Arabidopsis thaliana: one gene and its partner. The protein of the gene in region 1 interacts with the protein of each later gene in a pairwise test. Each region holds a gene or a part of one and is shown in the gene's direction. Other genes may lie near its edges.

What was found. The genes of interacting proteins can lie anywhere in the genome.
Region 2: the proteins of TCP20 (region 1) and SARD1 interact in a protein complementation assay, tested with the Arabidopsis thaliana proteins (one study listed by BioGRID).

The regions. Positions count from the first base shown.
Region 1 is NC_003074.8:9,956,842-9,960,788, reverse strand, and holds TCP20 (TEOSINTE BRANCHED 1, cycloidea, PCF (TCP)-domain family protein 20), read left to right. Parts: upstream 1-1,843; 5' UTR 1,844-2,034; coding exon 2,035-2,979; 3' UTR 2,980-3,145; intron 3,146-3,229; exon of another isoform or gene 3,230-3,248; 3' UTR 3,249-3,413; downstream 3,414-3,947. UniProt on the Arabidopsis thaliana protein: Transcription factor that binds to the site II motif (3'-TGGGCC/T-5') in the promoter of PCNA-2 and to 3'-GCCCG/A-5' elements in the promoters of cyclin CYCB1-1 and ribosomal protein genes.
Region 2 is NC_003070.9:27,744,288-27,751,284, reverse strand, and holds SARD1 (Calmodulin binding protein-like protein), read left to right. Parts: upstream 1-2,036; 5' UTR 2,037-2,106; coding exon 2,107-2,198; intron 2,199-2,494; coding exon 2,495-2,573; intron 2,574-3,232; coding exon 3,233-3,770; intron 3,771-4,564; coding exon 4,565-4,725; intron 4,726-4,807; coding exon 4,808-4,996; intron 4,997-5,119; coding exon 5,120-5,216; intron 5,217-5,324; coding exon 5,325-5,524; 3' UTR 5,525-6,062; coding exon of another isoform or gene 6,063-6,266; 3' UTR 6,267-6,495; downstream 6,496-6,997. Other genes in the region: GIP2 (mitotic-spindle organizing 1B-like protein (DUF3743)), read right to left, coding at 6,063-6,266. UniProt on the Arabidopsis thaliana protein: Transcription activator that binds DNA in a sequence-specific manner, 5'-GAAATTTTGG-3', to promote the expression of target genes. Recruited to the promoter of ICS1 and other defense-related genes (e.g. PR1 and SID2) in response to both biotic (e.g.

The DNA.
Region 1 (3,947 bases):
TTTTATTCATTTTGTTAGATGAAAACATCATTTCTATATAATTAAACAAATAGAATACTGTGATTTTGAAATTGAAAATTAAATGCATTGATTGTATTCAAGTTTTACAAAATGTTTGCAGAAGATCGTCCACAATATTTAACCAAACCATAAACAAATATGGGCAAGCAAAAAATAGGTGGTCACGCAGCTTTTCTGCTTGACTGAACACAACCCTATTGACGCGTTCTAGTTTCCATTGAGAGTCTATCCTTGATTGCCAACCAAGAGATGAAAGCAAATGGAAGGACAGTTTTGAGTTTTGGAAGCAAACTAACTTTTTTAACGACGTCTCTATTAAGGAAGTTGGTAGCTCAAGCTACACTTTATCACATTTAGATCGCGAATGAACAATATCCTTCAAAACTAAATGTCTCTACGACTCTACCTCACCTCACCACTTTCAAGTTCATTGATTGTGAGATCCGCAACACAATCTCTTCACGATGACAAGTAAATCATTTTTGAAACGTATAATGCAACTTTGAATTAGATGATCACACTTATGTGATGTCTTCAATATTGTTACTTTGTTTTTTATTCTTTTATTTTTGCAAAGTTGCAAAAACTGAATGTTTTAACTATTATAATTCTATAAACTTTTTTTTATTTCTTTTGAACAAATGAACTGTAAATGTTGACACACAATTACTAAAGCAGGAAATCAATCGACGACGACTGGACATGTGTTAGTGTATGATATTTAAACGTGATTATGGGCGTCATTAATATAAGACTAATGCCTTTAAGTAAAGCTAGAGAGTAGTTAACTCATTAAGATTAATTGAAGTCTAAGACTTATGAGTAGTTATGATGAAATGAGTAAAAAAAAAAGAGAGATGGTATAATGTTGTCGGTCCATAAATGATGAAACTCTCAAACTCATTCAATACCTTTAGATCTTGCCCTACAAGCGAACCAAACCCTGTGTGGACCGGCTAATTGTCAACATGTCATTGGTCCACTTGATGGACTAGCTAAAAGTACTTCCTTCTTAGGGAAGACGTTGACTTTGACTACTGTTGTAGTTTTTTTTTTTTTTTTCGTTTAGGACAGAATGAGAGATATATACGAAGCAACAATGTATTCAATAGTACTTACTCTTTTTCTAAAATATTGATTTTCTGAAAAAAAATTATGTTCTAAAGGGATTAATTTTCTACACATTGTAATTATTTAATAATAATAATTTACAAACTTTAAAAAGTAATTATTGAGATTTTTTTGAATATATCAACTGTTATTGGATTGTTACCATCAGGCTAAAGCACGATCTTTAAAATGTGTTGCAGCAAGAGGAACTCTCATCTCATGAGGGACATTTTTGAATGTTAACAACTCTTCCGTCGTGCTAATCCAATCTAGGAACTCTTCTGTTTGTAAAGTACCATAAAATTCAGGTAAATCTAACTTGAAACCTGATTTCCACATATAATTATGCCCCATGTAAAAATAGATTTTAGATCCGTCACTGTGTATCTAGTGGGAAATGAAGTGGCAGTTGTTAGACTCTCAATTACCTTTGGATTAAATGTGAAAGTGAAACGGTCACACTACTTTTTCTTTTATGTGTCGTTTTGTTACTTTGCTGTTTATGGTCTTAAAAATTGCATTGTTTGGTGAGAAACCTATGAGACTCACTCACTCGCTATCTCTCTCTGTTATTTAAAGTACCAAACCAAAAAGTAAACAAGAATAAAAAAGAAAAAGACAAAACTAAAGTCTCATACTTTTAAAGTGTTTTCTCATTTCTTTTTTGACCAATTTCGAGATCAAAAGAAACATTTTTTCTTTATTCTCCTCAAATTCTACATCGGGATCTTACTGGGTTTTTTTTTAAACATTAAATTCGTAAATTCCCAAAGAAAAAAAAAAAAACTCGATACCTTTTGTTTTACAAAGTCGTCACAATTCTGAAACCCTTAATTGAATCCAAGAGAATTTTTGATTAAATTAAGTCTCTGGACCCTGAAGTCCCCACACAAGCAAGCTTCGATGGATCCCAAGAACCTAAATCGTCACCAAGTACCAAATTTCTTGAACCCACCACCACCACCGCGAAATCAGGGTTTGGTAGATGATGATGCTGCTTCTGCTGTTGTTTCCGACGAGAATCGCAAACCAACAACTGAGATTAAAGATTTCCAGATCGTGGTCTCTGCTTCCGACAAAGAACCAAACAAGAAGAGTCAGAATCAGAACCAGCTTGGTCCTAAGAGAAGCTCTAACAAAGACAGACACACTAAAGTCGAAGGTAGAGGTCGACGAATTCGGATGCCTGCTCTTTGTGCTGCTAGGATTTTTCAATTGACTAGAGAATTGGGTCATAAATCTGATGGTGAAACTATCCAGTGGCTGCTTCAACAAGCTGAGCCATCGATTATTGCAGCTACTGGTTCAGGAACTATACCGGCCTCTGCTTTAGCTTCTTCAGCTGCAACCTCTAACCATCATCAAGGTGGGTCTCTTACTGCTGGTTTAATGATCAGTCATGACTTAGATGGTGGGTCTAGTAGTAGTGGTAGACCATTAAATTGGGGGATTGGTGGCGGTGAAGGAGTTTCTAGGTCAAGTTTACCAACTGGGTTATGGCCAAATGTAGCTGGGTTTGGTTCTGGTGTGCCAACCACTGGTTTAATGAGTGAAGGAGCTGGTTATAGAATTGGGTTTCCTGGTTTTGATTTTCCTGGTGTTGGTCATATGAGTTTTGCATCTATTTTGGGTGGGAATCATAATCAGATGCCTGGACTTGAGTTAGGCTTGTCTCAAGAAGGGAATGTTGGTGTTTTGAATCCTCAGTCTTTTACTCAGATTTATCAACAGATGGGTCAGGCTCAGGCTCAAGCTCAAGGTAGGGTTCTTCACCATATGCATCATAACCATGAAGAACATCAGCAAGAGAGTGGTGAGAAAGATGATTCTCAAGGCTCAGGTCGTTAAAAGGATTGGGTTTTTTTTTGTATCTTCTGGATTTGAAAAAGCTTTTGGCTTTTGTTTTGTGATAATATTGTTGTAATTTGTACCACCATGGAGAAGAAAAAGAAAAGGTTATATACTGAGTGAGAGTGATAATCTATACTTATTGAAACCTCTGCAAAAACACAAGGTGAGTTCAATTTGAGGATGATGATACAAGAGAGTGGAATCTTCAAACCTTTTTTTCCGAGTGTTTGTGACAATTTTTTGGCAGTTGTTGTTTGAACTTGCAGGTGGAGTTTGTTGAATACACACAGCCAGAGATTTTTTTGTTTGGAGTCTTTAAGTTGCAGAGAGGCTTGTTTTTACTTGTTCTGAGTTTTGTTGCTTTTGAATATCAAGAAACCGGCTTTTTTCAGATAGTACAACAATGGTAATGTATACTTGTCTTCCATCACATATTTGTAGAATGAAGATTTATAGCTCTCTTTTGCTCAGTATTCTTCTATTGCATCTCCAAAGATTGTTCTCTTTCGTTCGATCTCTCTGAATGAGTTAAAGACTTTCGTTTAGAGTCGAGTGTAAAACACTTCGCTGCATGTTCTGATTCAGTGGCTTTGAGCTGCAATGGATTTCACAATGATGGTAACGTTGTATTCTTTAACTCTTACTTACATTCATGTTATTGCCCTGAGTGTGCCGTTAACTGTGGGAAGGTTTTGAACTAGGTACAAACCCTTCGCAGTTGGGAACCAAATAAGCTGGTATTGCATTTACTCTTTGCCTTGCAAGCTTTTTCAAAGATAAGTATAAATTGTTCAACGAGTCAAAAAGTTTATATCATTTTACTCATTTTGACTTGAATTTGACGGAACTAAGGAAAGAGACTAAGAGAGAGAGAGAGAGAGAGGTTAACGAGTCAAAAAGTTGCTTGATCTCTATGATTTGTCCAACCAATCAAAACAAGTGAAGAAAATTCAAAAACATTCACA
Region 2 (6,997 bases), on another chromosome or scaffold:
TGTCAGCGTCACTATTTCATATGAAAGTCCTCATGGTGGGTTTTTATAGGTGGATAAGACTTTCATGTTTTCTAAATAAATTTTATTTTGTAAATATATAGAGTTACCAAAATATATGATTTGACAGCTTATTAGTTTTTACGGTTTGTTTTTCGTTGTTTGATTAGGTGATTCGTTGTTCACTTACGTGACTAATATGATTGTTTATTGATAAGATTTGGAGATGACTCGAGCTCATATAAACTAAGCCATTGATGTCGAAAAACTGTTTAAAAAATTTAGTCGCTAATGTATACTCACGCGGCTGTATTGTCCCGTACGCGGCCACTTTTATTTTGTATTGAAGTACTAACTTACGTTTTAAAAATTAGACTGAAACTCAAACTAAAATCTGTTTTGTCCCGTACGCGGCCATTTTTATTTTGTATTAATGTTCTAAATTACATTTTAAAAATTAGACTCAAACTCCAACTAAAATCTCCAGCCAGCATATATATATAGAATGTTGCTTAGTCAATAGTAACAAAATAATTGCAAATGTAAAGGCTGCTTCCAAGAAAAAAAAGGCAGTCCTATATCTTTTAACTTGATATCTTACAAAGTTATAAAATGGATTACTCACATCATAGTCTTTGAAAAACTAAAATTATTATGAAAAGGTACATATTAACACACCCAAAAATAAAAAAAAATAAACGTTCTTGAGTTGGCAACCCCTAAAAGTGGATGGCAATTCAGAAATGGGCTTTTAATGTTTAGATTCCATAAAAAGTGAATAGATGGTTCTTATTCTGTGTATGTGAGATATCAATATCATCGTGACAAAGACTATGTGACAATTACCATACAATTTATCATGGAGGCAAAGCATTACAATTATAATGCTACCAAAAATATTTTGAAGTTAAAACAAAAAAAACTTATTAAAGTTAATTAAAAGCAAGATTTTCGACAGAGACTAAACAGAGTCGATTGAAGCTAAAAGCACGACAAGTTTTGAGAGGATGATTGAGATTTGTAACTCACCCGACAAGAAATTACCCGAAAAGGACAAACCAATTCAATGAACCTTCGTCGAAATCATTCACTTGACCCTTTATATAGTATAGTTTATATTAACACATAAGAACTTGGATAATTTTAGTTTCCTTTAACGCATGACATTTCTATATTAAATAAAAACTATTGTTGTTTTTTGTTCTCCTGCTTAACTTAAAATGACAGCTATTAAATTATCAGGATATTTTTGGAAACCGATGTAAACCGAAAAAAGGTTATTATAAGACTTTCTTTCCTTCTTTCTTATTTGCTTAAAAGATATATAGTTCAATTTTTTGTTTTCTTGCTTAAAGAAAAGATAGTTCAATAAAATTGTATCTATATAAAAGGGATTGCTAAATAGACATACACCGTATTTATCGGACGAGACCAAGAAGTTCAGGTTATTGCAAACTTTGCCTTTTTGACATAAACTTTAGAAAACAAATCTGAACCTGTCTTTTTCTCTGATTTTCATAATTTTTACTAATTAGGTTAGAGAGGAACAAACATGAATCCGAATTATATAGACAATCAATTTTTCATAATTAAGTATGTTGATATGATGATATCAATAGTGTTAATATTCTTACAAGATAAAGAAAGGAACAAAAATTCTTCGAAGAACGGACCGGATCGATCGTATACTCGTAGTGCTCTCTCTACAAGAAGTAATCATGTGGCATATGGATCACGCTTTATACTAGCAGTTAGATCTAAAACCCAATCGGGTGGGAAGATCGGAACCGTCCATTTGTCAACAAAGGAAGCTTTCTAAATTGGAGTTGACGTCAAAAGTCTCCCTATTTATGACGCCATAAATAGATTATTCGCGTGGATCAGACTTCGGACTTCTTTGGATATTGCCAGGTTGTTTCCTTTGTCGTTCTTCGAACTTTCTTTATTTTTTTTTATTTTTTTTTGGTTTTTGTGAGACTAAAGACTAAAACTATATAAATATCATCGCCGTATAAGATTATGTCAAAACATTACAAAACCTAGTTTTGATCTAAGCGCTCTCTCTCTAACTCTCCCTCTCTTTCTCTCACAACTCACCAGAACAATTCCATGGCAGGGAAGAGGTTATTTCAAGATCTTGATTCTGACCAAGAAAATAAGTCCGAGAAACGGATTAAATCTGTACTACCATCCCTTGCCTCGTAATTTTTCTCAGAAACTTTTCATTCTTTTTTTCTTGTATTGTGTTTATGATGAATCATTTCTACAAATCTTAAGTTTTGTTTGGAACATGTTCAGTGTTCAATCCTCTTTTTTTCTTACACATCTTATCCTTAAAATCTAAATATAAATATATGCTTGTATTTTATGTATATGTTCTATTCACTCTCTCTCTTATCCTTAAAATAATATCTCCTTTAGATCTTACTACTCTTGGATTTTATTTTCTATTCACCTTTTTCTGATAAATTTTTGTTATATTTTTTGTTTCTTGCAGGCCAATTTCCAGTGTGTTTGGAGCATTGATCTCAGAAAACACCCTTCGTTCTGTCCTAGAGCCCGTTATTAGAAAAGTTGTAAGTATACTATAATAATTCCACTTCTATTTTGTTATTTCTAAATACTTGTTCTAACTTCTAATTAATGTAGTGGATATATATATATATATATATATACATGGATATTTCAAATGAACGAGTTGAGAATTAGAATTTCATACTTACCATGTTTAATCAACTACACATACTTAAAGTAACAAGTGTAATTTAACATACAAATATACTAGTCTAGCATTGACGATGTCTAGTGTGCGAATTGGAACTTGATAAAATAAGAAAATTTCGATCATGTTGCTAATACTATATACATTTTAGGTAACAAACATATGCATGTACATGCATAGTTGCATTCTTATATCATATATATACACATACGTTATTAAGATAGTACTAAATATTTACAAAGTTATAAATCTTTTTAGTATTATTAATAAACAAGACCTCTCTAACCTAACATTTCAATCAACTATATCTAGAAATAAAAGACAAAATAATGGTCCACACACGTACACACACACATATATGCTAGTACCTTTTAAAAGATCTATATATTGGCCTACATATTTAATTTATTAGTATGTATTGTTTAATTTGTGTAATAAGGATATCAAATTATTTGTTAATATAAAACAGATAAGAGTGTTTTATAACTCTACTCGTTTTGGTAACGTGACCAGGTAAGACAAGAAGTGGAATATGGAATTAGTAAACGATTTCGATTATCTCGGTCATCGTCTTTCCGTATCGAAGCTCCGGAGGCGACTACTCCGACACTGAAGCTAATTTTCCGTAAGAACTTAATGACACCAATATTTACAGGGAGTAAAATCAGTGACGTGGACAACAATCCACTTGAGATTATCCTTGTTGATGACTCAAACAAGCCGGTGAATCTCAACCGTCCAATCAAACTAGACATCGTTGCTCTTCACGGAGATTTTCCTTCGGGTGATAAATGGACTAGTGATGAGTTTGAGAGTAACATCATCAAAGAAAGAGATGGGAAACGGCCGTTACTTGCCGGAGAAGTAAGTGTGACGGTGAGAAACGGCGTTGCAACAATCGGAGAAATTGTGTTCACAGACAATTCGAGTTGGATTCGTAGCCGTAAGTTTAGAATCGGTGCGAAAGTTGCGAAAGGGAGTAGCGGTCAAGGCGTTGTGGTTTGTGAAGCGATGACTGAAGCGATTGTTGTTAGAGATCATCGTGGAGAATGTAAGTTTATTTTTCTTTATTACTAAATATTTTACCTAATTAGAAATTAATGAATATATAACAAATAAATCTATGCATCATATATAATGAGTTTTGTGCATATATTCATTAAGCAGTACTCCACTAGGGGATGTGATAGTAACATATCACTAGTTTCAATTATCTTTGACCTGACCACATTTGGCATCTTCTTATGGATTACCCTACTATCAATCATACATAACCTTTAAGATAATCATTTATACAACACATGTGCATCAGAAATCCATTAAAATGATGTTTTGTTTTCGTCAAAATTTATTTGCATAATTTCGTTTTCAAATTTATTAACATATCAATCTATATTGATGCTTTTGGCTTTATCTTCTTAAAAAGAATCTTAGTTTTTCTAATTAAACACTAGTATAGAAATATAAAATTTTTTGGGTATTACAAAATTGTTGTATCTTGTCATGATATGTTTTGGGCTTTTGGCTACAAATATTAACTATACTTGCTTTAATTTGTCTTAATATATATACACATTCAATTTTTAATTCTTAATTAGAAAAAAACTACTAAAAGTATTTTCGATGTGGACCGTATGCAAACGACTATCCCACTTTATACAAGAGCCTATAAGTCTTTGGTCAATCAATGCTTATATCGTATTAATTAATACTCTGTATATTTTCCGAATCTTATAACAATCAACAAACACATGCATAAAGCGAATACATATAAAGAAGATACATAGTAGAAAACTAGATATAATTCTAAATAGTTTTGTTTTGTACAACTTGGGGTTGGTGAAGTGTACAAGAAACATCACCCACCAATGTTAGAAGACGAAGTGTGGCGGCTAGAGAAGATAGGCAAAGATGGGGCCTTTCACAAGAAGCTCTCCTCTCGCCACATCAACACTGTCCAAGACTTTTTGAAACTATCCGTCGTTGACGTCGACGAACTCCGTCAGGTTTAAATTCTTAGCTTATTTGACCCCTAAATTTTTATTATTATTAGAGAACTAATAGGAATAGGGGTTTGTTGATGTACAGATTCTGGGGCCTGGAATGTCTGATAGAAAGTGGGAAGTAACATTGAAACATGCTAGAGAGTGTATTTTGGGAAATAAGTTATACATTTCTAGAGGACCGAATTTTTTCATGATTTTGAATCCGATATGCGAAGTTATGAAAGCACTTATCGATGGTCATGTTCTCTCTAGTCAAGAATCCCTCAACCAGGTATTGAATGGTCATTTTCTCTCTATTAAAGAAGTTAAGCAATTATTGATAGCTCAATGATTGTTTATTAGTTAGAAACTGTATTTATTTTTTTAATTCATCTATGGTAATGTTTTGTTGCAGCCCTACGTTAAGAACTTAGTTCGAGATGCTTACTCAAAGGGGAACTTTTTAGAAGTGGGCGAACGAACAGCGAACGAGGCTGCTCTTTTGACACAAGGTATTACTTTAAAATAGTGTCAACATAAACACCATTTCAGTTTTTCTATAATTGCGAAACATCGTTGATTATATAGTATGTTACAACAATGTAATTTTGATTATATAGGTGATGATTTGGACCAACAATATGCTGCGAGCCACTACCAAAACATCGAAATCGATAAATCATATCAACAAAACGGATATGTTCAAGAGAGATCTACAAACAATTTGGAGATAGTAAACGAAGGGTATATAACGACTCCAGCGGAATTCAATATATGTTTCACCGGATCTTCGTCTCAAAATCATATAAACCCTTTCTAAATCCTCATCTACGTTAGTATTGGAAGACACGCCATAGTGCCTTGGCCGAGATTGGACTCTTTCTAAATAAGGGTTTAAACTTTAAACTACTACTACGTACATGATGGTAAAACATGTATTCTAGATCTGCTGATCATGATTGTACATAAAAGTGTGAAGTTTAGAGTTATATTTTTAGTTGGATGGTATACCACTTGTTCACGTTTTCACAGTTGTATGAAAACGTTGTTTTTACCATTCACGTTCAACAAATTTTTACGTTTTTACGTTTTAGAAAAATTGATTCCGCTGTATATGTACGTACTTGATGAAAGTATTGACTAAAAAAAGAAATCAAGAATATGAGGGTAACTTTGTGATTTACTTAAAGAAAGCCTCTCAAAAGGATTGAGTGGGGATGACTCAAATACTTATTACCAATTTGTCTCTGAAACTCTCTATTCAATTACCTTACCAACCCTAATTTACACATCAATAGCATAATGAAATTGAAACTTAGAAAACAAGCATGAATGATACTATTTGATTAGGCATCTTCTTAATCAACCGTAGTTGTTGTTGTAGCAGAATCCCTACGAAGCTCCTTGACGAGAGTAGCGAGAGCCTCAGGGTTAAGACCAATATCGCAAAGAGCTATAAGAACAGACAAAGTATGTCGATCAAGACCTGTCTCCAAGATGTTCGACATCCGAAACACCAGCTCCAGTGACTCTCTCGCTGTTTCAGCTGCTTCCTGATTCATAATACTCTGAAACCACCAAACATCATCCAGAACAAAAAAATATCAATTTCGGAAACGATTCAATTTACATATGAATATCTACTCTATTCTTGTACGGATCTCCATGGATGTACAGAGAATGGAAACCCTTAAAGTGGAAATCGGAGACTTGCCGACGGATCAAGAGATACATTAGATCGGAAAAAGGTTAAGGAACAAAACGAACCGATTAATCGACGGAGAAAACGAACGGCGTCGAGTTTGAGAGAGAAGAAGTGAGATCTTAGAGCTTGAGATAATTGAGAGAAACGATTCTCGATCTCGTGATCGAAGAAGAAGAGGCGAAAATGGGCCAACAATTAGAATTTAGAAATCTAGGGTTGTTTTTTTTAAGAAAATAAACCTTTGGCCGGTTCAGAGTATATTTACTGGTTCATATCAAATCGGTCGGTTAAATAAAATCCGCCGGTTTTAATACAATCGAAGTCTCTGAACTAGTTTTAATCAAGGGATTCTTTTTTGTCGGAATCAAGGGATTCAAGACCTTGTTATGATTAATTCGGCCAAAATTGACAAAATTGCATCCAAATTTAGAGACTTATTTTGTAGTGATATCCTTGAAATTGGAACTTTTAACTTTTAAGTAGCTTATGTTAGTCGAATTATCCGAAATTTCTTAAAAACATATCAATGTGAATATGTGATGATCAAGATTTATTCCTTGACGACAAACACATTAATGGAAAGCCAAA